2 linked regions of the Ovis aries genome follow. The protein of the gene in region 1 interacts with the protein of each later gene in a biochemical or structural test. Links are inferred from orthologs where the notes say so. Each region holds a gene or a part of one and is shown on either strand. Other genes may lie near its edges.

The links.
Region 2: the proteins of CCKBR (region 1) and CCK form a complex in vitro, tested with the Homo sapiens proteins (3 studies listed by BioGRID). The link is inferred for Ovis aries from reciprocal best matches to the Homo sapiens genes CCKBR and CCK.

Annotation. Positions count from the first base shown.
Region 1 is NC_056068.1:46,498,881-46,514,625, reverse strand, and holds the end of CCKBR (gastrin/cholecystokinin type B receptor), read left to right. Parts: intron 1-6,449; coding exon 6,450-6,701; intron 6,702-6,854; coding exon 6,855-7,104; intron 7,105-7,386; coding exon 7,387-7,559; intron 7,560-7,667; coding exon 7,668-8,206; 3' UTR 8,207-9,082; downstream 9,083-15,745. UniProt on the Homo sapiens protein: Receptor for gastrin and cholecystokinin. The CCK-B receptors occur throughout the central nervous system where they modulate anxiety, analgesia, arousal, and neuroleptic activity.
Region 2 is NC_056072.1:14,564,226-14,580,643, reverse strand, and holds CCK (cholecystokinin), read left to right. Parts: upstream 1-7,905; 5' UTR 7,906-7,970; intron 7,971-9,023; 5' UTR 9,024-9,025; coding exon 9,026-9,239; intron 9,240-13,424; coding exon 13,425-13,558; 3' UTR 13,559-13,829; downstream 13,830-16,418. UniProt on the Homo sapiens protein: This peptide hormone induces gall bladder contraction and the release of pancreatic enzymes in the gut. Its function in the brain is not clear.

The sequences.
Region 1 (15,745 bases):
GAGTTTAAATCCATGGCACTTTCGTCCAGTGTATCAGTTTCTGAGTGCCTGGAACATGTACCATAAGAGAGGAATGGTGACCACTCAGGATGAAGGCCAGCCTAGAGAGACTCCAGAAAAATGTGTGGAACTGTCTAAGGAGTATGGATTTTATCCCAAGGTCAATGGGAACTGCTGGAAGGTGAAGTCGTGCTGCCAGGATTAGTTCTGTAGTAAAGAGGGCGGATTGGAGGACAAGAGATGGGCAGAGGGGCATCCCTTTGAAGGCTACTGTGTTACGCTGGCCCTGGTGAAACAGGATACTGGCTTAGGCTGAGCTACTGGCAGTGGAGATGGAGAGAACTGGATGGATTGGGGAGATACTTCAGGAAGTGAAACCCACCGAACTTAATGATTTATTAGAAACGGAGAGGGAAGAAGAGGTCAAGGGGCGACATCTAGGTTTCTGGCTTAGACAACTGGGTAGTTGTGCTGTATATTGAGGATAATAAGGAAGCAGAAACATTTGAAAGAGGAGATTATCCATTCAATTTGGAACCCACTGAGTTTAAATGCCAGTGAAATATCCAGGTGGAGTTGCCCAGTAAGCTGTTGAATCCAAGGATCTGGGCGGTACAAGCTGGAAAGGAAGACTTGAAAGGTTTTTGTTTGTCTAGAGGAGGTAATGAAAGCCATGAAACTAGATTAAATCATACAAAGATTGTGTCAGATTTAAAAAAAAAAAAAAAAAAAGAGGTCCTGGGATAGGACCTTGAGGAAGACCAAGTTTTAAAAGCCAAGCAGAAGAAGAGGAGTCCATGAAGGAGATCTAGACGAAACCATTAGAGAGACAAGAAGGCAAGGAAGAAAAAAAAAAAAAAGGAAAATTTCAAACAGAATATCACATGCTGCCAATATAAGTCAGATAAGGTCAGAATAACATCCTTCGGATTCAATGGAAAAGACACCTTAGGAGGAGCTGTGGGGTTAGGGTTACGGTGTTATTACTGACTACGGTCAGTTGAAGTTTGGGCCATGGAGAAGGGGTTATGAGAAGTGAACCAAGGCATGCAGATAAAAACTTCCATATGTTTTGAAGAGAGAGAGGGAGACAAAGAAAAAACAGGATAGTTCTAGAAATAACATGAGGTTGAGGAAGTGTGTGTGTGTGTGTGTGTGTGTACATGCACGTGCACACATAGCTTGTCTTTTGAGTGTGTACGTGTTGCAGAGAAAAAACCAGTTTTTAAATGTTGGTGGGGGATGGGCCTAGAGAGAGGGAGGCTGAGTGCAGAAGACAGAGGGGCTAGTTGATAGAGGAAGGGACCTTGAGCAAGCAGAATGTGCAGTGATTCAGAGCCCAAGCCATCTAGATGCTGCTGCCCACACACACCTGCATGTGATACCCACAGTCAGAGACTGTCAGCCACACTCACTCAGCTATTACCCCTACAGACACATCTCACCCAGGCTCACCCAGTGTTATGAGGAGAAACGTGGCTGTTACGCACATTATTCTGATATAATCCACATACACTTAAATGTTTCCAGTGTTCACTCAGAAACTGCACACAGGATGGACTTGTGGACACAGAGGGGAAGGAGAGGGTGGGACAAATTGCGAGAATAGCATTGAGATATATGCATTACCATTTGCAAAACAGATAGCTAGTGGGAGGCTACGGTATAGCCCAGGGAGCTCAGCTCAGTGCTCTGTGATGACCTAGACAGGCGGAAGGAGGAGGGGTGGGAAGGAGGCTCCAGGGGGAGAGGACATGCTTATACACACAGCTAATTCATGTTGTTGTACAGCAGAAACCAACAAAGCCTTGTAAAGCAATTACACTGCAATTTACAAAATAAATAGAATGGGAAAAAAAGAAGGTACCCACAGAAAAACAGACGCCACCCACACTTACTTTAATATTGCCCATTGTCATTTCGATGTTACTCATCCATCAAATATACATGCTTTCATTTTTTTTATTATCCACATATAATCAAATACTATTCATGCTTACTTAAGGAACCCATCTCCAGGTATCACCTATAAAGTCTACCTATATATAGATATATTACCTATATATCTGTTACCTGGATACAACTGTTACATATTCAGATAATACCTGCAAAGACTCAAATACTACCTGTGGTCATTCAGATGCTGTTATTTTACTCAATCAGGTTAACATCCTAATCTGTTAGCATTTCATATGTACACTCACTTAAATATTGCCCACATACACTTTCATATTACTTCTGCTCAGTCGTCTAGGACCACCATCAGCTGGATATTTCCCTCATTCACACACAGACCTCTGAATGTAACCCATGCTTCCTGTAGACGTTACCTACAAACAAGGTGTTATCTGTAGACCCTCGCTTATTCAAATGTTACAACACTTCCTCAGATATTACCTAAACTTAAAAGTAACCCACACTCAATCAGATATTACTTATAGACACATAGCTGTTACCCTTCTCCAGATATTGCACACAGAAATATGTGTTAATCTCACCCATCCAGATATCATCTCTAATACTCAAGTATTCCCAAGGCTTACTCCACTCCCATTCACAATCAGCTGGATGATATCCATGCTCACCACAGAAGCACGGGTACTACTTTGATGTCCGTGTGATGGGTAACCAAACCCAACACACCAGTGAACGGCAGGATCTGAGGCATCAGCAGCTTCACTGTTCTGTGGAATTATTTCTTAGAAAAGCCTGTTCTTGTCTTATGTGAAATCATCTGGATTTTTGTACCCACACTTCTCTGTCCTCATGTGGACGGAACAAATGCAGATGCTCTAGACACCAGAAGCAGAACTGGACTGTTCCAGTCTTCCGAGTCCCCTGGTCTGACTTCTGATCTGCTCGCGTGGCACAGTGGTAAACAAGCCACCTGCCAATGTAGAAGACGTAAGAGACTCGGGTTCAATCCCTGGGTCAGGAAGATCCTCTGGGTGAGGGCATGGCAACCCACACCAGTGTTCTTGCCTGGAGAATCCCATGGACAGAGGAGCCTGGTGGCCTACAGTCCATAGAGTCACAAAGAGTCCCACATGACTGACGATTTAGCACACACTCATCCCCAGCAGAATGACACCCACAGGTAGACTGTCAAGGCACTGATGGCTGTACCCCAGATGAACAAATGAGAAGTGTGCTTTTCACAACTTAGAGTGCCATCCAGATTTAGGTGTGATTATTGAATCAAGAACTAGTAGAAAGGGAGCTCCTGGTGGTCCAGCGGTTAGGACTCAGTGCTGGCACTGCTGGGGCTCCACAGTGCAGCCAAAAAAAAGAAAAATCTAGTTGAAGAGAAACATCCAGAGGACAGAGGAGGATGTGAGAGAGATGATAGGACTAGAGAGATAAGGGATGGGAGGAGAGGAGAGGAGAAGGGTGTAGAGGGGCAGTGGACTGAAAGGAGACACAAAAAAATGCAAGGTAGACCACCTGTTCTATATTCTTGGGTCCAAGGACCTCTCTGACAGAGATCCCCCCTCCCAAATGTTATTTCCCCCTATACACACACATATACACACACACCTCAAATTGTCACACATAAGCAAACCTTCCATAAGCCTCCCCTGCAGAGAGGGAGCCCAGCTTCTAAATGAGACATAGACAGTTTGCGTATAATAGTAAAAGTAACACATCCCAAATCACAGCCTGTTATTGACCCCTTCCCCTGTACCACCTAAAAGATTCTCCAACATGGGTCTCCAAAGAAACAGAGGCAGTGAGGCAGCAAGGAGAGTGCATGCTGGAGCTTTAGAAGCACAGAGATGAAGGATGGATGAGGAGAAACAGAGCAGATGCATTTATATGGACAGTGACAGAGATACAGTTAAGATTCATTAGCAAGCAGGTGTTAACACCTCCTGTGCAGGAAGCATTATGCCAAATGCTAGGGACATGCTGAAGAACAAGATGGGCATTGCCCCTGCCCTCAAGAGCTCATAGTCCAGTGGCAGAGGCAGAACATGACCATAATAACAGGGTAAGAAATGCCAGGGTAGAGTATGACAGAGAAGTGAGGGAGCAGCAGGAGACAAAGCCTTTTGGAAATGTAGAGACAAGATTCTGCTCCGATTCGGCTCCTTACTTGCTGTGTGCTCTGAGGAAGTAATGTCTGTCATTCCTGGACTCAGTGAGGGTACTATAAACTGCTTAGTCGCTCAGTCGTGTCTGACTTTTTGCGACCCCATGGACTCTAGCCTGCCAGGTTCCTCTGAGCATGGGATTTTTCAGTCAAGAATACTGGACTGCGTTGCTATTTCCTTCTCCAGGGAATCTTCCCAACCCAGGAATCGAACCCGCATCTCCTGTGTCTCCTGCATTGCAGACATTTCAGTTAGGAGGTTTCTTGTAAATAGCACTTCCTTGAAGTCTGCAACAACTTCTGGATAAGTACATAACTACTGATATGGGGAAAAAAACAGTTTAATTTGGGAATTAAGGCGAAAGTCAGCCAATGTACAGGGCTATGGAGAGTGATGCAGCTCTGGGCCCTTCCCTCCCCCAACCTGGTAGGCTCTGTCCCTGCCCTCTTTCCTTCCAACCTCCAGTCTCCCTCACACTGAGGCCATGGGCACAGGTGACTGGGTCCAGTTTAATTCAATTCAGTTTTGTCTTGGTTGTGATATGGCAGCTCAGTGATGAACCGTTCCCCCCAACAGGCAATGACACAAGTGAACGGGGTCAGCCCTTTGTCCTGCCCAGCAGTGCTACGTGTCCTTCCTGTGAGCTCCCAGAGCATTCTGTCATTCTTCAACCTCACTTCTTATCACACTGTGTGACAGATATCTATTTATACGTCTGAGTTTCCCTCTAGACTTCTAGAATGTGAGCTCTCAGATGAGAGCTCTCAGAGCATTTGTCATGTTCATCTCTTTGTCCCCAGTGCCTAGTATAAAGATAATCCTCTGAAATGCTTGTGGAGTGAGAGGGAATGTTTATAGATAATTAAAATACAAGGCAGAAAGTAAAGGCCGTTCTAACAGGTGTGTAGGGAACATGCATGGGTCAGAAGAAGGGGAGATTAGCTCCAAATAAGGTGCCCAGAGAGGCCTTATAGAGGAGGGAGCAGTCAGTCCGAGTCTTGAAAGACAATAGTAAGTAGGAGTTCACTAGATAACAGAAAACAAGTTTATTATTGAGAGTCCTTCCCTGGTGGCTCAGACAGTAAAGCACCTGCCTATAATGCGGGAGACCCGGTTTCAATCCCTGGGTGGGGAAGATCCCCTGGAGAAGGAAATGGCAACCCACTCCAGTATTCTTGCCTGGAAAATCCCATGGACGGAGGAGCCTGGTAGGCTACAGTCCATGGGGTCCCAAAAAGTCAGACACGACTGAGCGACTTCACTTTCACTTTCAGTGGGGGGAGGAGGGTATTAATAGTGGTAGGGGCGCAGTGAAAGAGCAGTTTAGGCTGATAAACCAATGTGAGCAAAGGAGAGTCATGAGTGCACCTGATGCCTCCCAGAAACTGAGTCATCTGGTGGCTTAAATGAGTGCATTGCAGGGATGAGGTGAGAGGAAGAAAAGGCCAGTTCTGGGAGAATCTTGATGACAAGATGAAGACAGTTGAGAGTAGGTAAAGGGTCTTTTTGCTTGTTTATTTAGTGATTATTGTTGCTTTTTAAGACAATAAAGACATGATCAGACCTGTGTCTCAAAAGATAGCAGTCAACAGGGTTGAATGCTACCAGGAGGCCATCAAGTAGAATAGGCTGAGAAAGGACCTTTGGATTTGGTAGTTAAAGCTTAGTAATCATGAAAAGAAGTGTAATGAACACTTATGAACAGTAATGGGGAAGAGGTCACTGAATCGTAATAGATTGAGGAGTGGATGAAAAGATGCAAATAATCTCTACAAAAAGTTTGGCTGCAAAGAGAAGGAAGGATTTGGAGCAAACCTTGAGAACAGACAGGGTTTCTTAAGGAAGGGTAGAGTTAGGCCACTTTAACTAGGCTTCTAGAGGTTAAACGGAGAAGGCAATGGCACCCCACTCCAGTACTCTTGCCTGGAAAATCCCATGAACAGAGGAGCCTGGTAGGCTGCATTCCATGGGGTCTCGAAGAGTCAGACACGACTGAGCGACTTCACTTTCACTTTTCACTTTCATGCATTGGAGAATGAAGTGGCAACCCACTCCAGTATTCTTGCCTGGAGAATCCCAGGGACGGTGGAGCCTGGTGGGCTGCGGTCTATGGGGTCGCACAGAGTCAGACACGACTGAAGCGACTTAGCAGCAGCAGCAGAGGTTAAAAGGGTAACAGATTCAAGTTCACCATTTACTGAGTGGATCCTGGGCCAGTGGGGGAGGGGGAGGATTTGAGAAGCAGGGGATCTGGCTGGGTAGTGGGGCTTGAAGAGTTGGGAATAAGTGAGACTGGATAGCCCAGCTGAGCGGGGGCCAGACCCCCTCCTGCCACCTCACCTCTTTCCTACCCAGAATTGGAGCTGGCCATTAGGGTCACCCTCTACGCTGTGATCTTTCTGATGAGTGTTGGAGGAAATGTGCTCATCATCGTGGTCCTGGGGCTGAGCCGCCGTCTGAGGACCGTCACCAATGCCTTTCTGCTCTCACTGGCAGTCAGCGACCTCCTGCTGGCTGTGGCTTGCATGCCCTTCACCCTCCTGCCCAATCTCATGGGCACATTTATCTTCGGCACAGTCGTCTGCAAGGCGGTTTCCTACTTCATGGGTAGGTAAACAATCGCCCTGCCTCCCTTGGCCCTCTCCTCTTCTAAAGTCCTTGCCGCATGTAGAGGGGTCTGTCTTCACCTGGAGTGTGGAAGTCACACTGGGGAGTGTGTAGCGCAAGTTTCCTAGGTAACCCTTTCCTCTTCCCTCCTAGGGGTGTCTGTGAGCGTGTCCACGCTAAGCCTCGTGGCCATCGCCCTGGAGCGGTACAGCGCCATCTGCCGACCACTGCAGGCGCGCGTGTGGCAGACGCGCTCCCACGCGGCTCGTGTAATCGTAGCCACGTGGATGCTGTCCGGACTGCTCATGGTGCCCTATCCAGTGTACACTGCCGTGCAGCCAGCAGGGCCTCGTGTCTTGCAATGCATGCACCGGTGGCCCAGTGCGCGGGTCCGCCAAACCTGGTGAGGGTGCCTATTACCCATTCCTGAGAATTCCCTTTTCTTATCTCCATCACTCACAAGCATTACCCAGAATCTTGCTCCAACAATTATCACGACCCACCGCCCTGAGATCCCCATTCGGGGCTCCTCCCCAGTTCTCTAGCCCTTCCCAGCTGTACCCCTAATCCTACTTCTACCTCTGGGACGTGGTCACCAGCCCTAGAAACACAGTTCTTCAGTCTTCCTCCATCAGTGATTATAGCTGGACAGGGACCCACTGACTGGTCTGCGCTCTGTCTCCAGGTCGGTACTGCTGCTCCTGCTCTTGTTTTTCGTGCCTGGGGTGGTTATGGCGGTGGCCTACGGGCTTATCTCCCGTGAGCTCTACTTAGGGCTTCGCTTTGACGGTGACAGTGACAGCGAGAGCCAGAGCCGGGTCGGAAGTCAGGGAGGGCTGCCCGGTGGCACCGGACAAGGTGTGTGAAATCCAGGAGGGGGCGGGACTTTGGGAAGGGGCGGGACATAAAGTGGGTGGGGCGGAAATGTGTGCGATTTGGGGGATTCAGCCCACGGTTTGTGCTCAGGTCCTGCCCAGGCGAACGGACGTTGCCGGTCTGAGACCCGACTGGCGGGTGAGGACGGCGACGGCTGTTATGTGCAGCTTCCGCGCTCCCGGCCTGCACTGGAGATGTCTGCCCTGACCGCGCCCACACCTGGCCCAGGATCCGGCACCCGGCCTGCCCAGGCCAAGCTGCTGGCTAAGAAGCGCGTGGTGCGGATGTTACTGGTGATCGTTGTGCTTTTTTTCCTGTGTTGGTTGCCGGTGTACAGCGCCAACACGTGGCGCGCCTTCGATGGCCCCGGCGCACATCGTGCACTCTCGGGTGCGCCCATCTCCTTCATCCACTTGCTAAGCTACGCCTCTGCCTGTGTCAACCCCCTGGTCTACTGCTTCATGCACCGTCGCTTTCGCCAGGCCTGCCTTGACACCTGCACCCGCTGCTGTCCTCGGCCTCCGCGGGCTCGCCCCAGACCTCTGCCGGACGAGGACCCTCCCACCCCGTCCATCGCCTCACTGTCCAGGCTGAGCTATACCACCATCAGCACGCTGGGGCCTGGCTGAGGGGTGGAGCGGGAGCGGGGCTGAGGCAGGACAGACGGATTCCTACCAGCTCAGCCCCGTCCAAACACACAAGAGACGCAGCTGACACGAGAGACTGACTAACCCCAATGGCCAGGAGAGGGTGGCTTACCTGACACTAAGAAAACAAACCAGACCCTCACACAGAAAAGGAGGCACTCAGTGAGGGACTGAGCCTGGCACACAGAGCCAGGGCACTGACCTTGGACAGACCCAGCGTCCCTAGCCATGGACTGTCTCCACACTGTGGAAACCGACAGGGGCTGACCTGCCTCTCACACGTACAGCAGGGGCATTGAATCTTTCAGGGCTCTGGAGCCTGGCACAGAAATGACTCCTGAGATGCTCCACTGTGCCCATAGTTTGACCTCACAGTGCCCTTCCCCAATCAGTGCTGCAAACACCAACCTGCCTAATCTCACACTCCCCGGACCAACGAGCTGTTTTGCACTAAGAAGTCCCTTCATTCCTTTCCAGTTAAATAATCCCTCACCCGACTTTTTCAAGAAATAATAAATGACTTGGTTTCCCCCTCAATTTCCTTTTTGGACTTTTCTGGGGCACGTGAGGGGGCATGGGATTTGGGAGACTTCTCTGTCAGGTCCCTCCCCCTGCTGCTCACTCCTGTGCATGACCCCCTGCCAAAAAGCCCATGGCCTAAGTCTAGATGAGGCTGTGTGAATTCCCTCTAAGTGGTCAACCTGGACCCACCTCACACCACAGTCATGAAGCTGGGAATGAGGATGGGGTGGGATATGCATGACGCACCATCATTCCTAAGCACATTGTTCTAAAGTGGTCCCCTTGTTAGGGTACTGTATTAATAGATGCTTATTAAAATTTTAATGAAAAAAGGAAGCACCATATGTTAAGGGTCAGTTTATTCACTGTGTATTTGTAATAATATGGGGTCAGAACATAATAGATATACAGAATTAAAGAGTTGGGCCTTTTAATGCACTGTTACCTGTGGAAGCACCTTTTACTGGCCAGCAACAAGGAGAAGTGCGGTGGGAAAGGAGGTAGGGGGCTGAACCTGAATGAAAGTCCCGGAAATCAGTCTCCCTGTTGACTCTAAGACTGATTCAGCCCGAGAGAGAGGCAGAGACAGCAAATCACCCCTCCACACATACAGTGACAAACCAGGAAGAACAGATGATCTCACCGAGGGAACACAGAAATAGACAGGTGTGGTATGCTAGGAGAGGGCTCCTTGACACTTCATCTTGTAACAGGTAGAGAAACTGCGACCCAGCACAAGAAAGAAAGCGGCTCAAGATCATACAAGAAATTAAAGCAAGACAGAAATAATCTTATTGAAGTAGACACTGAGCTGGAGGTGGAAGAGAAGCCAGACCCTCTGGTGTCGATCCAAACTTTGTGAGCCTGGAGCTTATAAAATTGGGTGTCCCTTTTTTAAGGAAAAAAAAAAAATACAAAATTACAGCTACAAAATTGCTAGGACACTGACCAGGGCCTTGGAAGAGATCGCTGCAAGAGAGGATTCCTGAGATGTAAGCTCCATTAGCTTCACAGCCAATAATACCTCTAAAATCCACCCACTAACGACATTGAGCAAACACTGGATGAAGTGAAGGGCAGTGAGAAAGGAGAGTGGTCTGTTTACCAGTTCTGAGCTGCTCCTATCCATCCTCTCTGCAGGGCTCTCGGCTGCAAGAGGCAGGAGGAAGGAAGAAAAGGAGGGAGAAGGCGTTCCAAGCTGTCAACTAAGACAGTACTGGTTAAAAATAGAATCCCAGCTGGTCGGAGTTGTGGAAAGCAAGATATTGGGCCTTGCTCACTCATGCCAGCTTTTCCAGGGGGTGGGAGTAGGTTTGCCCACAGCCTTCACGGCACTCCCTGATCCTCATTCCCACCATCCTTTCTGAAGGAGATACAGCCTTGAAGAAGGTCCCCCACTGTCAGTCCCTCCAGCTTGGGCCCAGGTTCCTAATGTCCATCAGATGGTGATGGGGAGCTCAGTAAGGGAGGGCTGATACTCATAGCTCATGAGCTCATGGAGAGCTCATACTCCAAGCCTTTAAGCCTGGAATATGAGCTCAAGTATGGTGGTCCAGGGCTACCCTAGAACCTAGCACATAGGCACAGCCTGAATAATGCCATTTCCCACACTATGCAGTCTTCTACAGAATACTTACACATCCGTCACCCTGTGCCCTATCTAGTTACCCGATGTGGAATTTGGGGTCCTTCCATCTATTTCCCATCTCTGGAAATCTGACAAAACATTTCAGGTACAAATTTTAATATCACTGTCTCCATGAAATCCTGCTTGGTCATCCTCACAAAGCTTGTCTGCTCCTAGAGTACTTACTGCTTTCTCTCTTCTAGCATAGTTATTTATGTTCCAGCCTGATTTCCCATCCTGGGCAGGGAACAGAATGATGTCATGGGAAGATGACTGAGCCTGGGCCTAGAAGGTGGAGTGATGGATGGAGTAGGGGTGAAATCCAATGCTTCTTGATTCTGTGTGACAGGAGTTTATATATACTAATTTATCTCATTCTCAAAACTCTTCTCCAGAACATTTCTCTTCACTTGACAGAAGAGGAAAGTGAAGCTGAGAAAGCTTAAGGGAGTTACATGAGGCCCTGCAGCTAGAAGGGAGACAGGAACTGAGCTCAGGTTGCCTCTAAAGCTTTGTTTCCTTCCATTATGCTGTTTTGCCTTCCTTCAAACCTTGAAGATCTGGGTACCAGTGGTCCTGCCTTTTAAAAGTTGTGTGATTTTGTGCAACTTATCTCAATGAATCTCAGTCTCACCTGTAAAATGCAAAGAATTACATTATCTTCTGCAATATTATGATTTATAAGAAATATATATTAATGTATATATCTAGCCAATCTTTGTCCTATTCCTGGCACAGAGCTCCTTGGAATTTCCTAAGTGTTGAGAGCCCATGATGCTGGGAGGGATTGGGGGCAGGAGGAGAAGGGGACGACAGAGGATGAGATGGCTGGATGGCATCACTGACTCAATGGACTTGAGTCTGAGTGAACTCCGGGAGTTGGTGATGGACAGGGAGGTCTGACCTGCTGCAATTCATGGGGTCGCAAAGAGTCGGACACAACTGAGCGACTGAAATGAACTGAACTGAACTGAACTGAGAGCCCATAAGGTGTCTTTTATTATGTTAATGTAGTCACTTTTGGAAAATCCCTAGATCACCTAAGGATGGAAGCTGGTTTGTCAGAGAAACTAACAGAAATCAACAAAGTAATCAGAGTCTGAGTCAATATAAGAGATGAAGGTTTGATCCCTGGGTTGAGAAGATCCCCTGGAGGAGGAAATGGCAACCCACTCCAGTATTCTTGTCTGGGAAATCCCATGGACAGAGGAACCTGGCAGGCTATAGTCCATGGTGTCACAAAGAGTTGAACACGACTTAGTTACTGTGCATGCACTCGCAAAATTCAGACCCACTCCCTGACCCCCGAGGAAGGAAAAGCGTCTAGAGATTGAGATCAGTCACTAAAAGCCAACGATTTAATCAACTGTGCCGATGTAAGAAGCTTCCATAAAATCTCAAAAGGACAGCGACTGACAGGTTGGGGAACACAGGGAGATTTGGGGAGAGTGTCTCATTGGCAGAGGAGCTCTGTGCCCCTTCTCATGTATCTTGCCCTATGCATCTCATCCATTGGCTGTTCCTGAGTCATATCCCTTTATAATAAACCAATATCTAGTAAGTAAAATGTTTCTCTGAGTTCTAGGAACTGCTCTAGCAAAGTAATGGAACCCAAGTCAAGGGTGGGGATATCTCCAATCTATAACTAGCTGGCCAGAAGCACAAGTGATAAACTGGATCTGGACAGGGGTGGGGCTTGAGGGGGTAGTCTTGTAGGACTGAGCTCTTAATCTGTGGGATCTGACACTATCTCCAGGTAGATAATATCTGAATTGGGTTGATTAAAGGACACCCGGTCGGTATGAGGGCATTGCTTGGTGGTGCGGTAAAAAAATGCACATTATAGTTCATTTGCATCAGAATCATAATCCACTTTGGTATTTTGAGAATTAAGAAAAGAATGCTCAAAAGTGCTTATGGGGGAATTCCCTGGTGGTCCAGTGGTTAGGACTCAGTGCTTTCACTGGTTTCACTGTCTGAGTTCAATCCTTGGTGGAGGAACAAAGATCCCAGTCAGTGCTTGTAATTGTAGAGATACATAGCATAAGGAAGATTGCATTGAGATAGTTTCCAGACCAGGGTGAAGGATTTGTACCTGGAAACACAGCCCTCTGCAGATAGAAAACCATCCCTAAATGAGGGGGACAGAACCCAGAATCCAAGAGGAGGATCAGAGTCTGCTAAGAGATGTTGTTAGGAAGTGGTGGAGTTAGAATCTGAACCCAGGTCTTCTTGACTCCAAAATCCATACTCTTTCACTATACATCCTGACTCTAACCTCCCAGAGGGGACATTCAGCCTGGGGAGATGGGAGAAATTGGAACCACTCAGGTCTCTTCTCAGGACTCCAAATAGAAAAACAGGTAAGTCTATAGCTCTACAGACTTGGATCCTTCAGTTCAGTTCAGTTCAGTTCAGTTCAGTCGCTCAGTCATGTCTGACTCTTTGCAACCCCATGAATCGCAGCATGCCAGGCCTCCCTGTCCATCACCAACTCCTGGAGTTCACTCAAACTCATGTGCATCGAGTCAGTGATGCCATCCAGCCATCTCATCCTCGGTCATCCCCTTCTCCTCCTGCCCCCAGTCCGTCCCAACATCAGGGTCTTTCGAATGAGTCAACTCTTCGAGTGAGGTGGCCAAAGTTTTGGAGTTTCAGCCTCAGCATCAGTCCTTCCAAAGAACTCCCAGGACTGATCTCCTTTAGGATGGACTGGTTGGATCTCCTTGCAGCCCAAGGGACTCTCAAAAGTCTTCTCCAACACCATAGTTCAAAAGCATCAATTCTTCAGTGCTCAGCTTTCTTTATAGTTCAACTCTCACATCTATACATGACCACTGGAAAAACCATAGCCTTGAATAGATGGACCTTTGTTGGCAAAGTAATATCTCTGCTTTGGAATATGCTGTCTAGGTTGGTCATAACTTTTCTTCCAAGGAGTAAGCATCTTTTAATTTCATGGCTGCAGTCACCATCTGCAGTGATTTTGGAGCCCCCTAAAATAAAGTCTGCCACTGTTTCCACTGTTTCCCCATCTATTTCCCATGAAGTGATGGGACCAGATGCCATGATCTTAGTTTTCTGAATGTTGAGCTTGAAGCCAACTTTTTCACTCTCCTCTTTCATTTTCATCAAGAGGCTTTTTTTGTTTTTGGATCCTTCAGAAGCCCCAGTTCTAGCATCTCCATGCCTGGAAGGAAGCCACCACAGGGAGGCCAGTTCCACAAAAATTGAGGATGGCAGTTGTGCTAGAAATCTCATCCCCCTCAAACCTTCCAAGAAGGCAAGTTTCCAGCTAAGTCTCAGATATGGAGACAAATCAGAAAAGAGACAGTCTCACAGTGAACAGGCACAGAGGGCCTTGTGCCAGACAACTCTCACAGACAACTCAAGCCAGAGCCTTGGACAACCATACACTCTGGTTACTCAGGTCTGATTAGTGGAAAGCAAGGGATGCTTTAAGGAAAAACTCTTCCTTCAAGTTATCTCTGGGAGAGGAGAGGTGGGAGGGAAGAAAAGCAAATGGAAAGGGTGGAGAAGAAAGCAGGCCCCATCTGAGGTCAAAGCTTTGGGCTGGGATATAATGCCTATAGGTGGGGCCATGCTGGAAGTGGCAGCCCTTATTGCAGATTCTAACCATGGTTCTCTGTCTGCTTCCTATTCTCTGAATCTCATTTACTGTCCCCCAACCTTACGGGGCACTTGTTCAGTCAGATGCTTGGTCCGTTGCTTGCACCAGACATGAAGATTAACACCTCCCTTTTGGTAGGGCTCAGTCTTTTGGAAACAATTCTAGCCCAGCCATGTATCCACATCTTGAGAAAGGAAATAGTTCACCAAACAGGCACATTGTCTTAATCAGATTAGGCACTTTTTCTTAGTAAAACAGTTGGGGGCTCCAGAATACTCTCCTGACAGGTAAGTGGTAAGAGATAAGACATGCAAGGGCTCTTGAGGAAGTTACATTTATTTAAATGGTAAGGCTAGTTTGAGTAAATTTCCCAGGGTGAAACAAATGGGCTTCAAGCAATGAGTGAAAGGCAGAACACCCGACATTACCTGACAGGATACAAGATTCCATCTAAGTGTCAGGGAACAGGGCTAACACTGCACGTGGGCAAGGAAAGGCAGGTGCAAAGACCCGACCTGGACAGGGACAGAGCGTTCCAGGTGGGACTCAATCTATAGGCGGGGGGTGGGGTGGGGGGGGGGGGAGGGGGTGGGGGGGTGAGGGGGGGGGGGGGGGGGGGGGGGGGGGGGGGGGGGGGCTGGGGGGGCAGATCTCTTTTTTGTCTTAAACCAGAGATAATCCCTTGATCCTTCTAAATTAAGGCATATGGGCTTCCCAGATGGCTCCGTGGTAAAGAATCCACCTGCCAATGCAGGAAACGTGGGTTTGATCCCTGGGTCAAGAAGATCCCCTGGAATAAGAAATGTCAAACCACTCCAATATTCTTAACTGGGAAATCCCATGGACAGAGGAGCCTGGCAGGCTACAGTCCATGGAGTCGCAAAGAGTCAGACATGACTGAGTGACTGAGCTCAAGTACACACGTACAATCCTCCAGGAAGTAACAAGCAGCAATTCAGAAAATTTTTAGGCCAGCCCCTGGGCTGCCTAGATGTGGGGATCTGTAGTTCATCCCAGAAAAGAGAAGAGTATAGGGTGGCTGAGGCAGGAAGCCTGGCTTTAAGTACACCGAGAGAAGGAGAGGGCCCTCACATTGTCAGGGAACAGCTGCACCCACCAACTTGAAATGGTGATGCAGGTCAAACCAGAATTAGGCAGCAAAAGTGGGGATCTGGCCAAAGGAGACCAATACGCAGCTCCAGGGTAAAGAGCTAACAACAGTTAACCTGGTCTGAAAACCGATCTCACTGGAAGGATCTGGTACCCAGTATGCCCCAATGCCGTTAACTATGGATTGACTAGCTCTGACTGGTTACTTTCTATTTCTGAGCCTCACTTTCCCTCATCTGTTGGTATCCCTCACTTGGAAATATTTCATGACTTGCTATGTAGTTGTGAAGGCTACGTGAGCTGGAGCAGCTGTCTCGCAAGGAAACACACAAGCTCAGGAAGCTTATTAGACACCCTAGCATTGAGAGCATGCTGGCAGCCACTGCCATAAGTAATCCAAAATAAAAATAATACTGAATCATAACATCATGTAATAAAGTCCAATAAACTGCCTTTCCCATGAGGAGTACTTTAGAGTTTTTTTATTTCAAACACTGATTTACTTATTTAATATTTTTATTAGTCATATATACACATAGTTCAAAGGGAATTCCTAGGTTGGTCAGTGGTAAAGAACCCACCTGCCAATGCAGGAGATTCAGGAGATGCGGCGTCAATCCCTGGGTCAAGG
Region 2 (16,418 bases), on another chromosome or scaffold:
GCCTATGTTCCCCAAAGAACAAGAACAAAATAGGGAGATTTGTGTGTCTTTACAGTTTGAAAAGGTAACAGGGTCTTTCCTGAGATTTCCACTTAGGGGCTGCAAGAGCTGCTGTTAATGCTTCACCTGATATAGCCTCCACTCCCCCAACCCCCGAAATTCACCTGCAGCTACGGGGGGCATTTCCTGTATCCACTGATGGCTTCTCAGGCTGAATACCTGCATCTCTCTTCTCTGCCTGTTAGGGCCTCCTCTTTCCCACCTGCCAGAGTAACCCTCAAACAGGATATGGGAGTCATGGATAAATGGTCCAGTGGAAAATTCTGAAGTGTTTCTGGTACAGTTCTCTGAACCCCAGCTGCCTGCCCCCAGCAGTAGCCTGTTCTTTAACCCACCTTGTAATCAGCTACTCTCTCTTTCTCCTCTTCTCAGTTTGGTTGCCTGGAATGGTCCAGCCCAAACACACCACCTGCATCTGGATTTGGTCCCAGGGTCTGTTCGGGGGGAGACCCAAACTAAAGGACCCCAAATATAAGGCAACATTCTTGACTGAAGATTGAGCTTCATTTCCCTCCCCGCTCCAAGCTCTGGAAACTTACATAAGAAACCCAACCTGGCAGCTACCGTCATATTCTCACTCCTCTGTACGTCCTCAGTGCCCCTGGGCCCAGCACCCTGATGCTCCCCACTCAGCTGGAGGCCTGTCTGTTGCCAGCATCTCTGGGGAAGTCTCAGAATCTGGTAAACAAACTCCTTCCTTCACTCGACATCATGGGTGCTAGGAAAATCTAGGCATGAATCCTTCATTTCCGGGCTGCCAATTTCTGCATATGCTGCAGCTTTGTGTCATTCCTTAAGGACTGGATGTTGTGAAAAATCTAAGCAGAAATTTTACTTTCATGGTGAAAAAAAAAAACCTGCTGCTTTTTAGCACACAATGATTTTCTCTCTTCTTTTTGGCTCCCTTTCTTATCAACATGTCCTTCACACATTGCTCAGCATCATCCCTAGGCAAAGTAGCCCCAAACTTGCTGTTCCCAAAACCCTGAACCTCAAGAGCACCTCAGCTGGCTCTGCCCACCTCTGTACTGAAACTTGGCAGCTCCCTTTCCACCCTCAGGTCTCAGGCTTGTCAGAGAGAAGCTAGTGCAGATGCAATGGTATCGTCAGGCCCCAGGGTCAGCAGCATGGTGAGATGGAAGCAGAACTGTGTATTCAGTGCTGTTCGTGCATCATCTCTTTTTTTGGCAACCATATCCTCACTCTCTGCCCTCTACACAGTCCACCCCATCTTTCTGGAGTCCCTGCCTTCAATCCCTGCTCCCAGTGTTTCCCCAGATTCAGTTAGGAGAGTAAGAAACAAGTGGAGCAGGATTAAGCCTGAAACATCCATGTTCTGAAGACTTGGATTCCCAACCCCATCTGACCTGCTCTGAAATCATAGATATTTCACATTCTCCCTTTATTGGCCTAATATACTATGAATAGGGCTTCCCTGTGGCTCAGATGGTACAGCGTCTACCTGCAATGCAGGAGACCCAGGTTCGATTCCTGGGTTGGGAATATTCCCTGGAGAAGGAAATGGCAACCCACTCCAGTACTCTTGCCTGAAAAACCCCATGGACTGTCGCCTGAGGAGCCTGGTAGGAGCCTGCAAAGAGTCGGACATGACTGAGAGACTTCACTTCACCATGTATAACTCTTATAATATACCTCTATGTGTATGCATGCATGCTCAGGTGCTTAGTCGGCTCTTTGGGACCCCATAGACTGTAGCCCATCAGGTTCCTCTGTCCATGGGATTCCCCCAGCAAGAATACTGGAATGTGTTGCCGTGTCCTCCTCTAGGGGATCTTCCCGACCCAGGGATCGAACCTGCTTTGACAGGTGAATTCTTTACCACTAAGCCACCTGGGAATTCCATAATACACTTCTACACACAATATTTTTAAATCAATATAATGTTCTGTATATAAGATAATATAAAGTATATTTTCTAATATAAAAAGAAAGCCATTTAGAATACAATGATATGTATCTCAATATGTAAACAGTTAGGCACAGCTAACTAGAAGACAGTTGTCAGATGTTTATGCTTACTTAGAATGAATAAGTGCGGATTTAAAATAAGCAACCCAGGATGCAACTGAATTTTACATTTTCCCTTTACATTTGATAACTTGAAATAAAATTTAAATAATATAAACATAGGATTTTGTGGGCCAATAGAGGTGTGAACTCAAACATCACAAGCAACACTGGGGCTGGCAACATGAGTTTTCAGAATGGTGGCCATTTACTCTTAAAATCACATCAAAACAAAGTATGATCCTTAGTGGATTTAACATTCTTGGAAAGTTAAGTTATGTTAAAACTGTCCCAAAATGCTCCCTACTTAAGTTACATGAAATTAGCTTCTAGTCTTGAATAACTAGAGACGATCTTTTCACACATGTGAATACCCAGGGGGTCATCCAACATTATGTACTTATCCGTCTAGCAGGTGGCCAGACACTCTGCCTTCTGGCACCCTCCCACCAAATGCCAGCAGGCATCACTTGTTATTTTGCTCACCCCCAAATTCTTCATAAATGTCCAAAATGTCACCTAGAGAGCAGTGTCAGTCACACTGAGAAGGATCTCCCACCCTTTGCCCTCTACACACACAGGCCACAGATTTAATCTTTGGTGACCCAAAGATTAAACTCAGTGGTTTAGTAGGGTCAGCTCTCTACCACCTGAGAACTAATGTTCTCTGGTAGTGAGCTTAGCTGGGGAGCTGGCCAAGCATCTAGAGTCAAAGCATTAATAAACAAGAAAAGATATATACGCTGTCTTTGACAGCTTGGAACAATTGCCTGAAGGGTAACTTGGCAATATTTACCAAAATTTTAAGTGTACATACTCTTTCAGCAACTCCACTTCTAGGAACCTGTGCATGAGCAGTATGATATATATTCAAGGAGCCTCAGTTATAATTAGAACATATTGGAAACTATTTAACTTTTTATCAGTAGGGCACTGGCTAGATGAATTAAGGCACATCCATCCATTGGAGTGTTCTATAGACACTGAGGTAGAATTATGCCAATAGTACAAAGTGACCTCTAATACAAATCTTAAATGAAAAAAGCAAAGCAGAGAACATTGTATATTATGTGCTTCCAAGTGGAAATGATTTGTGTGTGTGTGTGACACATTTGATTTGCTTGTATGTTCATGGATTCTCTATGGAAGAATTCGCTAGAAACTAGAAGCACTCCTTGCCTCTGGGGAAGAACAGGGGTGAACAGGAGACTTCATTTTAACGACATACCCTTTTCTATCTTTAAATTAATAAAATTTTGAATTATGTGTACTTAGGCCTATTATTGAATTTAATAACCACTTGAGTTGGCAAAACTAAGAACCTTTCCTGATGAGGCTGACCAGCGACAGCCGTGTCCTCTGGCATTAATTTAGAGGAGGGGAAGTGCAGCAACCATGGTGGTAGGCAGGACATGTCTCCGCTGGAGGCTGGGATGTTGCAGGGACGTGTGCTTGTCCCTTGCTGTGAGAGGCCCCTCTTCAGAGGGAATCTGTATCAGCAGGACCACAAAAACTTCAGACTTCCCCTGAAAGAATTTAAGTCTCCCTGTTTGTTAACTTTTCCCGGTTATAGACAATAGAGGCTGCTCTTACTACTCCTACAAAGGAACATGACACTAAAGACAAACCTGAAGACACTGGTGGATGGTCTCCCTGACAACTGCCATTCCTGCTGGCTTTTCAGGATTGGTTTGAAAAGCACAGGCTCATTCTGCCTGTGAGGATCAGTGGGCTGGCCGCGGACCTCTCCTCTTTCCCACCACTTATTCAGGAGATGACCTTTCATTTCTGGTGGCTCTTACTGCTGCTGCTGCTAAGTCACTTCAGTCATGTCTGACTCTGTGCTACCCCATAGACGGCAGCCCACCAGGCTCCCCCGTCCCTGGGATTCTCCAGGCAAGAACACTGGAGTGGGTTGCCATTTCTTTCTCCAATGTATGAAAGTGAAAACTGAAAGTGAAGTCACTGAGCCGTGTCCAACTCTCAGCGACCCCATGGACTGCAGCCCACCAGGCTCCTCTGTCCATGGGATTTTCCAGGCAAGAGTACCAGAGTGGGGTGGTGGCTTTTACATCCCTGGCTAAAAGAGATTGTGTTAAAAACAATTCCTGTGGTTATTTGGGAGCCCAAAACCCAGGCAGAGGCCAACAAATGGGTTTTTCACTTACTACTATACACCTAGTCAATCCAGTCAACTGAACTAAAAGTTGTTTCCTTGGTGGACATGTATTGATCACTTAGCATGTGTCCAGGATAATCCTTGTATTGGATGAGTAAATCATGGTTCCTATCCTCTGGCATGTTAGCAGATAAGATGTTCAGAGAGATAAAAAGTTCAGTCAACAAATATTTATTCAAGAGCTGTTGTCCTTCTAGGTTTGGGGGTGCTGGTTATGAGATGTGTCCCTTGGGTTATCTCAGAGAGACCTCAGTGGGATTGAGTCCACAACAGTATCCCCCTCGTTAACATGCACTTGATTTCCTTCTCTCTCTTCCCTGCTCCCTTACTCCTACTTCCTTGAGATCACTCCCAAGTAATCTCCCTGCACCCAGGTTGTCTCAGCCTTGCTTTTGTGAGCACCTCATCTTAAGAGATTCTGAGGGAACTCATCATTAGTAAGAGGAAATAGTTCACCACCGCAGCTCCTTCTTTCTTTTCTGCTAAATTGCTCCATATAATGGCAGATGACATTGGCTATGTGGGCCTCTGGAAAATTACAAGACAAATAATGGCATTTCCAATACAAGTTCAAGAGAAAAAAAAAAAAATTCAAGATCCCAAACATAAGACTTCAAGCACATTTCTAATCACAGTAAACAATCTCCTAACGAAGATCATGGCATCCGGTCCTATCACTTCATGGGAAATAGATGGGGAAACAGTGGAAACAGTGTCAGACTTTATTTTTGGGGGGCTCCAAAATCACTGCAGATGGGGAAAGCAGCCATGATATTAAAAGACGCTTACTCCTTGGAAGAAAAGTTATGACCAACCTAGGTAGCATATTCAAAAGCAGAGACATCACTTTGCTGACTAAGGTCTATCTAGTCAAGGCTATGGTTTCTCCAGTGGTCATGTATGGATGTGAGAGTTGGACTGTGAAGAAGGCTGAGCGACAAAGGATTGATGCTTTTGAACTGCGGTGTTGGAGAAGACTCTTTGAGAGTCCCATGGACTGCAAGGAGATCCAACCAGTCCATTCTGAAGGAGATCAACCCTGGGATTTCTTTGGAAGGAATGATGCTAAAGCTGAAACTCCAGTACTTTGGCCACCTCATGCGAAGTGTTGACTCCTTGGAAAAGACTCTGATGCTGGGAGGGATTGGGGGCAGGAGGAGAAGGGGACGACAGAGGATGAGATGGCTGGATGGCATCACTGACTCAATGGGCGTGAGTCTGAGTGAACTCCGGGAGTTGGTGATGGACAGGGAGGCCTGGTGTTCTGCAATTCATGGGGTCGCAAAGAGTCGGACACGACTAAGCGACTGAACTGAACTGAACTGAACCTCCTTTAAACGGAGATCACTGTAACAAGTTTAAATTCCGTGAAAAATAAAGTAGGAGGCTCTAGTGTGTCCCTGGAAATTCCACTCAGTTTTCTACAAAAGAGAAATGGACATATGTCTTTGAGATACTTCCCATGGCTTAAAAAAAATCCTGCATGGAAACTATCACATCCCTGATTTCAAGGGCTGAGTTGGGGATGCCTCTCCAACTCTGAATGGGATCTCAGCTAAATTATTTTCAGCACAGTTAGATGGAAATTTCTAGATTCCAAATCAGAAAACAGTTACAAGTTTTCACTCACCTCTGCTGTCCACAGTGACACATCTGAATGTGGTTCCCACCCTTTCCATTTCTTGGATGAAAGCAGAGACCTTTCACATCACGTGGCATTTATTTTCTGTCTCCCTGGCTAGAATGGAAGCACCACGAACACAGGCATTTTGCCTGTTTTGCTCCCTATTGTGTCCCAACAGTGTCTGATAGACAGTTGATGTCCTCAGGAGGATTATGCTGAAATTAGACAAAACCTTGGGGGCACATGATTTATTAGGGAGATGATCCTAGATACCAGGCATGAGAAAATGAGAATACAGGAGGAAACATGTTCAATAAATATTAACTAAATGGATGGAGGGGAGGGAGTTCAGTAACTGGCTTACCCTAAGGAAATTCTGTAGCTGTGGTTCTCAAAGTGTGGTCAGGGGACCATCACCACCAGCAGTAGCCTTAGGGAAATCGTTAGAAAGGCAAGTTTCTGGGCCCCACCTCAGACCTACTGAATCAGAAACTCTGGGAGGTGTTTGAGCAAGCCCCTTAGGTGATTATGCTCCATAACAACTTCATGTTCTCAGACATGCCTTGACCACAGTCACAAATAAAACTAGTTTCACCAAGTGAACTTACACAGTAGCCTCCTTGGGAAAACCACTGGGAAGCATCTAATCTGCAACTCTGTTTCAAAAATGTTGCCTTTAGATTGCAGAAATGCAGCAGCCTCTAGAGTTTAAAAAGGGGGACAGCAACCACAGGCATCTCCCCACCAAGTGTCAGGCTCCCCACCCACTTCAACACCACAGTCTCACCATCCCAGGAGCTGAGTACAGATTCTGATTTGAAAGAATCAGGTCCAAATCTTTCTCCAGGAAGGGAAAAGGCGGGAGGGGCGGGTGGCTACCCTCAAGTCTCAGCCTGCTGAGACTCCAGGAAACTGTGGAGAAGCCTTGGCCAGTTGCTGCTTCTGTTGGCTCCCCGGTTGCTGAAATGGGGTTGTCAGTAATTTTGCAGCACCGGGAGAACTGGAGCACTAACTAGATGACTCTAACCCAAAGGGCTTCAGGGCGGAGGTGAGTGTAGACCCCTATGGCGCACTGGCCGGGGGCGCGACCCCGCAGGGAAGGGCGCACAGCTGCCGCGGCGCCTCCCTTGTCCCCACTAGGGGGGTGAGTGACAAGAGCGAGGTCTTTATTTCAAAGACGGCGGGGACCGGCCCAAGTGTAAAAGCTGGGAAAGATGGAACTGGCGGATGCCGATGCCAGAGGGGAACGGCGATTGAGCGGCTTTTGAGGACACTCTCTGGTGCCGCTTGGCGACAGGAGCTGCGGGCGCCGCGGGCAGGAGGTAGCTCCGCTTGGAAGAAAACACAGCCCTTTCCCAAACTCCGGGCAAAGCCCAATAGCCTCATCCTCGTTTCACAGCTACGTAAAGCAGAGTCCGCGACACCCGCAGCCAGCCGTGGAGGAGCCCTTTCGCTGACCCAGGGACCCTTGCCCTCGGGATCCTGGGATCAAGGGGCTGAGAACAAAGTTTAAAAACCAGAGCAGCCTGGGATGCTCCAAGAGGGGCCGACATTTCCACCATCTCAGAATTACACTTTGCTGACACCCAGCGCTGTCTAGTGCCACCCCATCCTATCCCGGGTTTCCTTTCCCGCGCCTCTGGTCCCCAAAGCGAACTGTAGGCGCGCGGCGGCTTCTCCATCCCGCAGGAGAGTCCCATTCCTAGGTCTCCCACCCTGAAGACGGGGAGCTTCGCGCTGGAATGGGCAAGGCAGAGGGGGTGCACGGAGCTGGGGGAGGAAGTCCCCCCGACCGAGACGCGGCTGACGCCACCCACCCCGCCACCCACCCGGCTCCACAGGGCCATTGCCCCCCCCCCCCCCCCCCCCAGGCAGCCACCTCAATCTATTGTCGCCCCGGCGGCCGCCCTCGGAGCACGTGCCGCTACCCTCTGCGTCAGTACTGGGTAAACAGATGACTGGCCAACGACTCAGGCGGGGCTATTTAAGAGGCAGCCTCCTGCCCGCCTACCTTGAACTTGGCTCAGCTCCCCCGCTGCTCTGGCTGGACCGCGAAGCCGGCTGCGTCCTATTCCGAAGGTAGGTTCCCGGCTCTCGGGGATCCAAGTGTCCTCGAAGAATGATTCTTCACTTCTGTTCCCCTTCCATTTCATTTTACTGTTTACGGTGTCTTCTTTCCGACAGCTCGAAAGACATTTCTCCAAGTCACAAAGGACAGTGCGGGCTGGGTGGATAGAGCTGGTTTACAGACTTCTACTCGCTTGATTTGTTCTCCAGCGCAGGCAACGCTGGAGCATCTATTTGCTCGGGTTAGCCGGCAAATTGCGATTCGCTAGGTGTTACACAGCGGTCCAGTGTACTTTGCAATCTTTTCAAATATACTACCGAGAGGTTTTAAATTTAAATTCATTTTCTGAATGCTGCGGGAAAACTCAAGGTTTGAGGGATAGAACTATCCCAGTGTTTCATCTGCGCGGATCTAAAACGCAGCGGTGCTTGGCGGACGCCGGAGGACTGAGCGCAGATTTCTGATTTTTTTAAAAGCCTGCCTGTGTTTCACATAGTTGTTCTTGCCAATTCCCATTTGCACCTTGAGGAAACTTGAAAAATACGGCTTTTATGTATTGGTCTCATATTTCAAGCCGTGCTTCTCAGTGTTTCACCATTTATTTCCCTGGTTGAAGCGTCTTAGCTCTCTGGTAAGGTGCCTCTTTTCTAAAACCAAGGCTCTTATTTTTCCTACAGAGTCGTCCCTTTCGGATAATTTTCACCTGTCTTTAATCTCTTGTTTTTCCAGTTAGGAGAAGAGAGACGACGCTGTAACACTTCCTCAAACTAAAGGAAAACCGAAGACATTCCTTCTGCTAAACAGGGCAGAGGACAGGGTCTCTCTCCGTCCCCCACACCACTCCCGGGCCCCGGATTGCGGTTCACCCCAAAGAGGAACGCGGTGCGCCCGGACGCGCATGCTGGGGTCACCGGCTCCCTAGTGCTGGCACCTGCCTGGCGGATCCGGAGCCCCGCGCCTTTGGGCTGAGCCCCCTTCTCTGTACCTTGGGTGTCCGACCCTCCTCAAGAGCCCGCGGATGCCCCACCTTTTCGTTCACGTCCCCTTCCCTCTGCTCCCCGCAGCCATGAACCGCGGCGCGCGCCTGTGCTTGCTGATGGCGGTCCTGGCGGCGGGCGCCCTGGCGCAGCCGATGCCTCACGCGGACCCCACGGGCCCTCCGGCGCAGCAGGAGGAGGAGGCGCCCCGGAGGCAGCTGAGGGCGGTGCCGAGGGTGGACGACGAGTCCAGAGCACACCTGGGCGCGCTGCTGGCCAGGTACATCCAGCAGGCTCGGAAAGGTACGCAGGCCGCCTCTCTGTCCCTCCCTTCTGCCTCCAGGCCTGACCCTCTTCTCTGCCATCGGGCTGGTGAAGGTGGGTGACTCCTGGGGAGTGAAGGGTTACTTGGGCAACACGATAAGGTGAAAGGTCTTTAACTTTCTTTTCTCTGATTCTGCTTGCCCCAGACAGTGCAGTTTTCTGTACCTCCTTTGTAGCAAGCTGAGAGGGAAGGGGGCAGGACTTAACTTATTAAGAGAAGGCTTTCTTTAAACTTTTTGGCACTGTGTTGCTGTTTAGGTTCAACATATTGTAAAGATATTAAAAGATGATTACTGAGCGAATTACTAACTCAGAAAGAGTTTGCAGATCCAATAAACACCCTCTGCTGTAAATATAAAGGACCCAGGAGCTGCCCAGCTACTGCATTTGGAAACCCTCTAGCAGGCAATGGTCAGTTGCAAGAATACTTGAGAGCTGACAGCAACAGTCCAAGAAGTGACTGTGTGTTAATTTTCATGGAAGTATGTAGCAGGAAGAAAGAATCAGGAGCAGTTTTGAGTCCTCTTTGAGCAGCGGCTTAAGATGATGACCCAGCAAGAGATGTGTTTATTTTTACTTTGCTGTTGGAGACACAGACCCAAATGCGGCAAGAGCTAAACAAGTCACACTTTCCTCAGCATCAAAATCTTTCTCTAGGAATAAAGTAATTCAGCAACTCAGTAGCTGAGTGGCATACAGACAGCCCTGTCCCTGTCCTGGGCCTGACTGTCTCATCTGTAAAGAGGGTATGAGGTGGGGTTCCCCTTGGCTCCTTCTAGCTCTTCATGAGACTCAGGGGGAGGCTCATTCAACTCTGGGGTCCTTAGAAATCATGATTTGAACTGGGACAGATTTTTTTTTTCCTATCAACTTTATCTAAAGTGACACTAATGGTGAAGCTGTGTTTTAAATTGGACCAATATGGCTGGATGATAAACCAGCAAATACTGCTGGGAGAGGTGGGAGGTGGGCTCCTTTCCCACAAGGCTCTCTTAACATTAATTGCTGGGGTTCTGGGGCCTGGATTTGAACTTTAACTTGTGGCTTGATGAAATGGGGAGAAAATAGAGGGTTTGGCTCTCCAGAGTCTCCTACAATTCCATAGGAAAGTGAGAAGGGACATTTTTGACCAGGACAATTCAGAAGGGAAAAAAATAGAAGACGATGCATTACATTTCATCCTCTTATTGGGGGATTGTCCCAACTACCATCTTCTATTTTGCTTTCCTCCTAATTATATTGAAAGATGTGGAAATATTAGACAGACGACAGAGAATGTCTGAAAATTTGGAGGTTCCTGCTGACTGTCTGTGTGAAAGTAGTTTAAAATCTGTCCTTGGATATGGGTTGAATATCCTAGGTTTTTCATTGACCATAATCTGGAAGCCCCTTCCTACCTTCAGGAAAGATCCTCCAGAAACTGTTCTGGGAAAGAAGCCAGTTACCAAATGATTTCCCCAGAACTGACACTTCACAGTGACTTCATACCACAACTCTTAGCTGGAAGGGCCTTCCTGCTGTCTTTTCTCAGCCCTTTGCCTTCAGCCTGCAGTGACAAACAAACCCATATGGGAAGAATCATCACTTGAAACTTTAGCTGCCAACACCAAGGATCAGTGCTAGCTGGAAAAAAAAAATAATTCTCTTCTATTTGACAAATATGAACTAGAAATAAGTATCTCCATCTATACAGTTTCTTTGTTTTATACATTTTGAGATCACAGTGAATATTTAATCAACTGTAGTATATGCCGTGCTTAAAGATTCTAAACAAGATAGTGCACCCTTTGGGGAGAGCTCAAGAGTTTATCATTAAGAACTGTCTATGGAGATGTCAGTGATCTGAAGAGAAGGAATTCTATTAGTGTACACCTGCCCCAAGCCCAGCGCAGTCCGGTGCTCCATCTGTGTTTTCTCTCTTTGTCCTCACACCAACCCTGTGCAGTAGGGTCTATTACCTCATTGTGTCAGTGTGGAAGCTGGGATTCTGGAAGACTGAGTCCCCAGATGGGTAGCACATCTCGGCAGCATAAGGGCTGGGAATTTACTCAAGTCCTGCCCTCCCCAAAGGGTCTGGAAGCCATTCAGCTTCCCAGCTGTACTGCTCATTACAAGTTTTAAAGTTTCAAGGAGCCAGGCCCTTCAGTTGTGTGAGTTGGTTGTAAGTGCCTGCTCTGTGTACGCAGTGGGGAAGTGAGTGAGGACTCTGGTAAATACACAGAACCATGTGTGGAATGGGGAAATTCTGGGTGATACAGGCACAGCTTCCATACTGTACACGATGCCCCCGACCGCAACCACGGAGGCTGCTGCTCACACTGAAGCTGCTATGTTGCTTCCATTAGATGGCATTTCCAGTGGTGCTCATCCCTTGGAGGGGGCATTCAGCAGCAACAAGCAGGAGGATGAGGCATATTTTGGTGTGACTGTGTACAGATAACTGGGTCTGAGAGTTTTGCTGAATGCAGGGACTAATAGTTCATCTGAAATGTGTTGAACAAATAAACAGCAAAGGCTGATTTCCTCTGCATAGACTGGCAACCCCTGCAAAAGAGCTGGAATGTGCTGGGGTGATGCTTAGTCCCAAGGCTGAGAAGTAATGGGGAGGGGAAAGAGAGGGCACAGGAAGAAAGGGTGGGGACATTGCTCCATAGGGTTGTTTCTGATTTTTAATTTAGCTAGCTTTATTTGATTATCAGGATACCTACTTCTGCAGTGTCATCAATAAATAAGCTGTGGTTCAACTTGATGCAGCTTGGGCAGCAGTTGGCAAGGTCAGCCTTGTACAGAAGGGCTCAATGCCAGCATTGTGAGCAGTGGGGACACAGTGGCCCCCAATAAAATAAGAACCATCGAGTGAGCCTCTGCTCTTGAAGCCACTTGGGCTTTGCCCAGTGAGATCCCTGAGGGACTGTTCTTGCCCCTTGGTTTGTACAACAGAAGGTATGATACTGATTTTATCCCCAGGATGCCAGGGCCTATGATCTGTGGGCCAGAACAGTCACATGCCCTCATCATGGCACTGCCCACTCAACATGAATCATACCCGGACTCATCCTGTTCCAAAGGACTCAACTCCTATCCCTGTGGGCCCATTTCAGGTTCAATGATTGCATGTTGGTCAAAATGGCTGAACTAAACTACCTCTGTTCTGCCCACCCTTCTTTGAGTGCTGCTGCTGCTAAGTTGCTTCAGTCCTGCCCGACTCTGTGCAACCCCATAGATGGCAGCCCACTAGGCTCCTCTGTCTCTGGGATTCTCCAGGCAAGAATACTAGGGTGGGTTGCCACTTCCTTCTCCAATGCATGAAAGTGAAGAGCGAAAGTGAAGTTGCTCAGTCGTGCCCAACTCTTAGCGACCCCATGGACTGCAGCCTACCAGGCTCCTCCATCCATGGGATTTTCCAGGCAAGAGTACTGGAGTGGGGTGCCATTGCCTTCTCCTCTTTGAGTGTTACTGAGATGCTAAGATTTTAATCTGCCAGTGTGCCTTTTTCTCAATATCATTTTTCCTTTTTTTTTTTTTTTAGAAAAAGAAGGTAGCTTTCAAATTAATAATTTTAAAACAGCATTTATCTAGCAGTGAGATTGGATTCCATTTTAGAAAAGCCATTCTAACATCAAAATATTGTCATCACATTACCTTGACAAGAGTTAGGTAGGCTCAGGGATATTAAGGGGTAAATTTTATTTTTTTACCATGTAGGATCTTAGTTCCCCAACCAGAGAATGAACCATGCCCCCTACCTTGAGGGCATGGAGCCTGAACCACTTGACCACCAGGAAAGGCTCTTAAGGGGTAAACTTTAGAGATGGGTTCTACTGAGGAAATCCTGCTATATAAGGGAAAACACCCTGAGCAGTAGGAAAACTTAGGCAGGTCTCAGCTATGAAAGGCGAGAATAAATTAATTTACCTAAATTCTTACAGATTGCAAACTACACCCACAGGTAGAAAATACTACCCTCTCTCCATTTACACAGACATGGGTCTTTCTTTTCTCTTAGGTTTTGGCCCAGCAATCTCACTCTTTTGATACCTCTTTTATACCTTTAAGAGGGTGTATGTTACATATTGCCTGGTCTTTTCTATTATTTGCCTTTACAATAGGAACTAGTGATGCTCTTAGATATAATTATCCTGTTTCCTTCCTCTCTGCCCCTAGCTCCTTCTGGCCGAATGTCTGTGATCAAGAACCTGCAGAGCCTGGACCCCAGCCACAGGATAAGTGACCGGGACTACATGGGCTGGATGGATTTTGGCCGGCGCAGCGCTGAGGAGTTTGAATACACCTCCTAGAAGACCTGGCCTTCAGCAGTGTGATAGGAAGCAACCTCCTGACTCAAAGGAGGCAGAATAAGAAAACAATCACACTCATAACTCACCTCTGATGTCTGACATTTAAAGTATCTATTTATTAAGTTTTCAATGTGAAAAATATGTCTGTATCATTGTCCAACACAACCTCACACCTTGGCAGAAATGTACAATAGGACGACAAAATGTTTTCCTTATCTGTGATCCCCAGTCCTAATGTGTTACAATGCTATTAAAGTGATTTTCTTCTGTTCCTCGTTCTCTGTGTCTACAAATGGCAAAAGGTCCTTTAGTCTTCAGAAAGTTCAAGGAGAGATTCCTGATGTATGGGACCGAAGGATGAATCCCTGCAGTCGATGATCAGAGAAAAGGGACCTGGGTGGCCTGATGCAATAGGACATGAAGCCCCAAAGGAGACAGACACTGAAAAGAAAGTGGTTAATTCACTTTACAAGGAGCACTGCATTTTGGTTCCATATCAGTTGGACACTGCCCAGTGACGGTCTGGGGAGTAGATGGTAGTCTACGTGTTACTTTAGTTCTCAGTCTTTGATATGCCAATTAGGACCAGATCCAAGCATGCATGGCTTGGGGTCGAGGCCTGTAGTTCATGAAGGAACAACTATATGGGGTTGCCTTCCTGAGCTATTCTCTCCCTCTCTACAATCTCCCCAGAACTTTCCAGTTTCCTGGGACTCTCCTTTTTGGTCCTCCACCCAAAAACTTGGCTCTGGTTATACTGTTCTGCCACACACTCTCATATTTGGGCCCATGTTCAAGTCTGAGTAACAGAAGAACGGTGAGTGAAAAAAAGCAATAGGGGTTGATGAGACCCTCTTGAGATCATAACTACTCCTATCCAAGAGCCAGTTGCCTCTTCCTCAGTTTTGGCCGTGGCCAGGCTCATGACTGACTGTTACCACTGTGCCTATGTGTTTGCCAGGGGGCTGTGGCATGAAAGAGAAGAAAAGAAGAACAAGAAATATTTATACTCTCTGGCCATTAGGAATTCCCTTTTTTATTCCTTGAGCCAGAACTAAGGGATATCTCCTGGAGATGGGTTTGCTGTGCCCCAGACTGCACTTTTAGTCCTAGGTTATGTTAAGTTCAAGAAAAGTCCCCCACACAGTCTTCCAGGCCTGCTCCTGCATCCTCTTTGACCACCAGGATCTGGTAGTTTCTAATGGAACTCTAGGAGCTTGATGAAATATTGTCTCAAGATGTGATGAAATTGAAAAACCCAGTCACTCATGCCATCAGGGTATTCTCTAAGATTGGGTGGCTTATTTTATTTTATTATCTTAATTCTGAATACTTTACTATAACTCCTAAGAGCCTTCTGGTTTGGAAAAATCTCAAGACAGCACAAGAAGTTTCTGACAAGTGGAATATTATATCTAATCAAGCTCCAAGACTAGCAACTTTTCTACCTTTTCATTCCCATGGCTCACATGCTGATCTGGGCACATAGAAACAGGCAGAATTGGCAAGAGTTCAAGCCTTTCCTGCCCTAACACTTTGGGACTGTAGCCAGAGTGACTCACATTGTTTGATCTTTTTCCAAGTTCCATTCTGAAAAGGATTCAACTGCTCTCTTTATCACCTTGTGTGTACTGTTATAAGCCCTTCGCTGGCCCAACAATATGTATGGAAGCACACTTTTGTGTCAGGCACTATGCTGATGTGGCAGGTACAGCAACCAAGAGCTCCAGTGGGAGATTCACAAAATCACAGTACAGTGCTTCAGGAATTATGGCAGATACTAATAATAATCAAAGGATGGGATAGAACAGAGCAGCAGAGCTGGCTGAATTAAGGCGCAGGACAGCTGGGCAGCTGCCCTTGGAGCCAGTCTCAAAGGGACATCTAATCACCACAGCAGCAAATCAGGTATCAGTGAATTTCTTTATACTTAGTAACTTAGTGAACTGAAGAACTGGGCATCCATTCCTCCCCTACAGAAGATTACAATGCCCTCAAGTGGACAGTTTTTTTTTTAAAAAACCACTCCTGCGGTTGCCAGCTCCTCTCTGTAGAAAGTCACACTGAAATCTGCAGAATTCAGGCCCATTTCTTTGCCAACCTGCTAGTTAACCCTCCCAGTCAGCTGAAGTTTCAAAACTAGATAATTCAGGGCCCCGGACTGTTTATTCTAAGAATGGGTGATTTTTTAAAAATCTTAATATTGGAACTTTTAATATGACTGCCAAAAGGCTCAAGGGTTTGGAAAATCACTCAATGAAACTGAAAAGGGAACAAGAGCCACTGACAAATTATTTTTGTAGAATTAAACTCAAGGAAAAAAAGGAACTCTTAAATGTATTTTGAAGACAAGTTGGTAACCATGGTTACCTCTAATTAGTGAGCAGCTCATGCTTTCCAGATTTGAGTGGAGGAAAACTGAAATGAAAAACAATTCCAAATTAGTAAAAATGCTAAGTTCCATTGAGTGCATGTAATGTACTTTAGAAATGTAATTTAATGTCTGTTGAGTCTAGTAATTAAGAAGTTGGTCTTGCATTTTGGGTTATTTAATTTTATTTTTTTCTGTAACTTATCATTGTTGCACGTTACAAAAATACTGGCCCATGACAGATCAATTTGAAAAATAAAAGCAACCAACTGATCCTTCACCATTAAGTGTTGAGAAGTACCACAATACATGTTCTTAAAGTCCCAGGGATTTGACACCTGGGTAAGCCCCTTGTCTTCACCCCTGTGTAATGTGCTGGTCAGAACTCTGGCCTTGACAGCAGCCTCAGAGGGGGGCCAGAGATTGGGCATCAGCTGATGCAAATGAAAGGATCTTCCAACCCAGTTCCCGAGCCAAACAACCATTTCT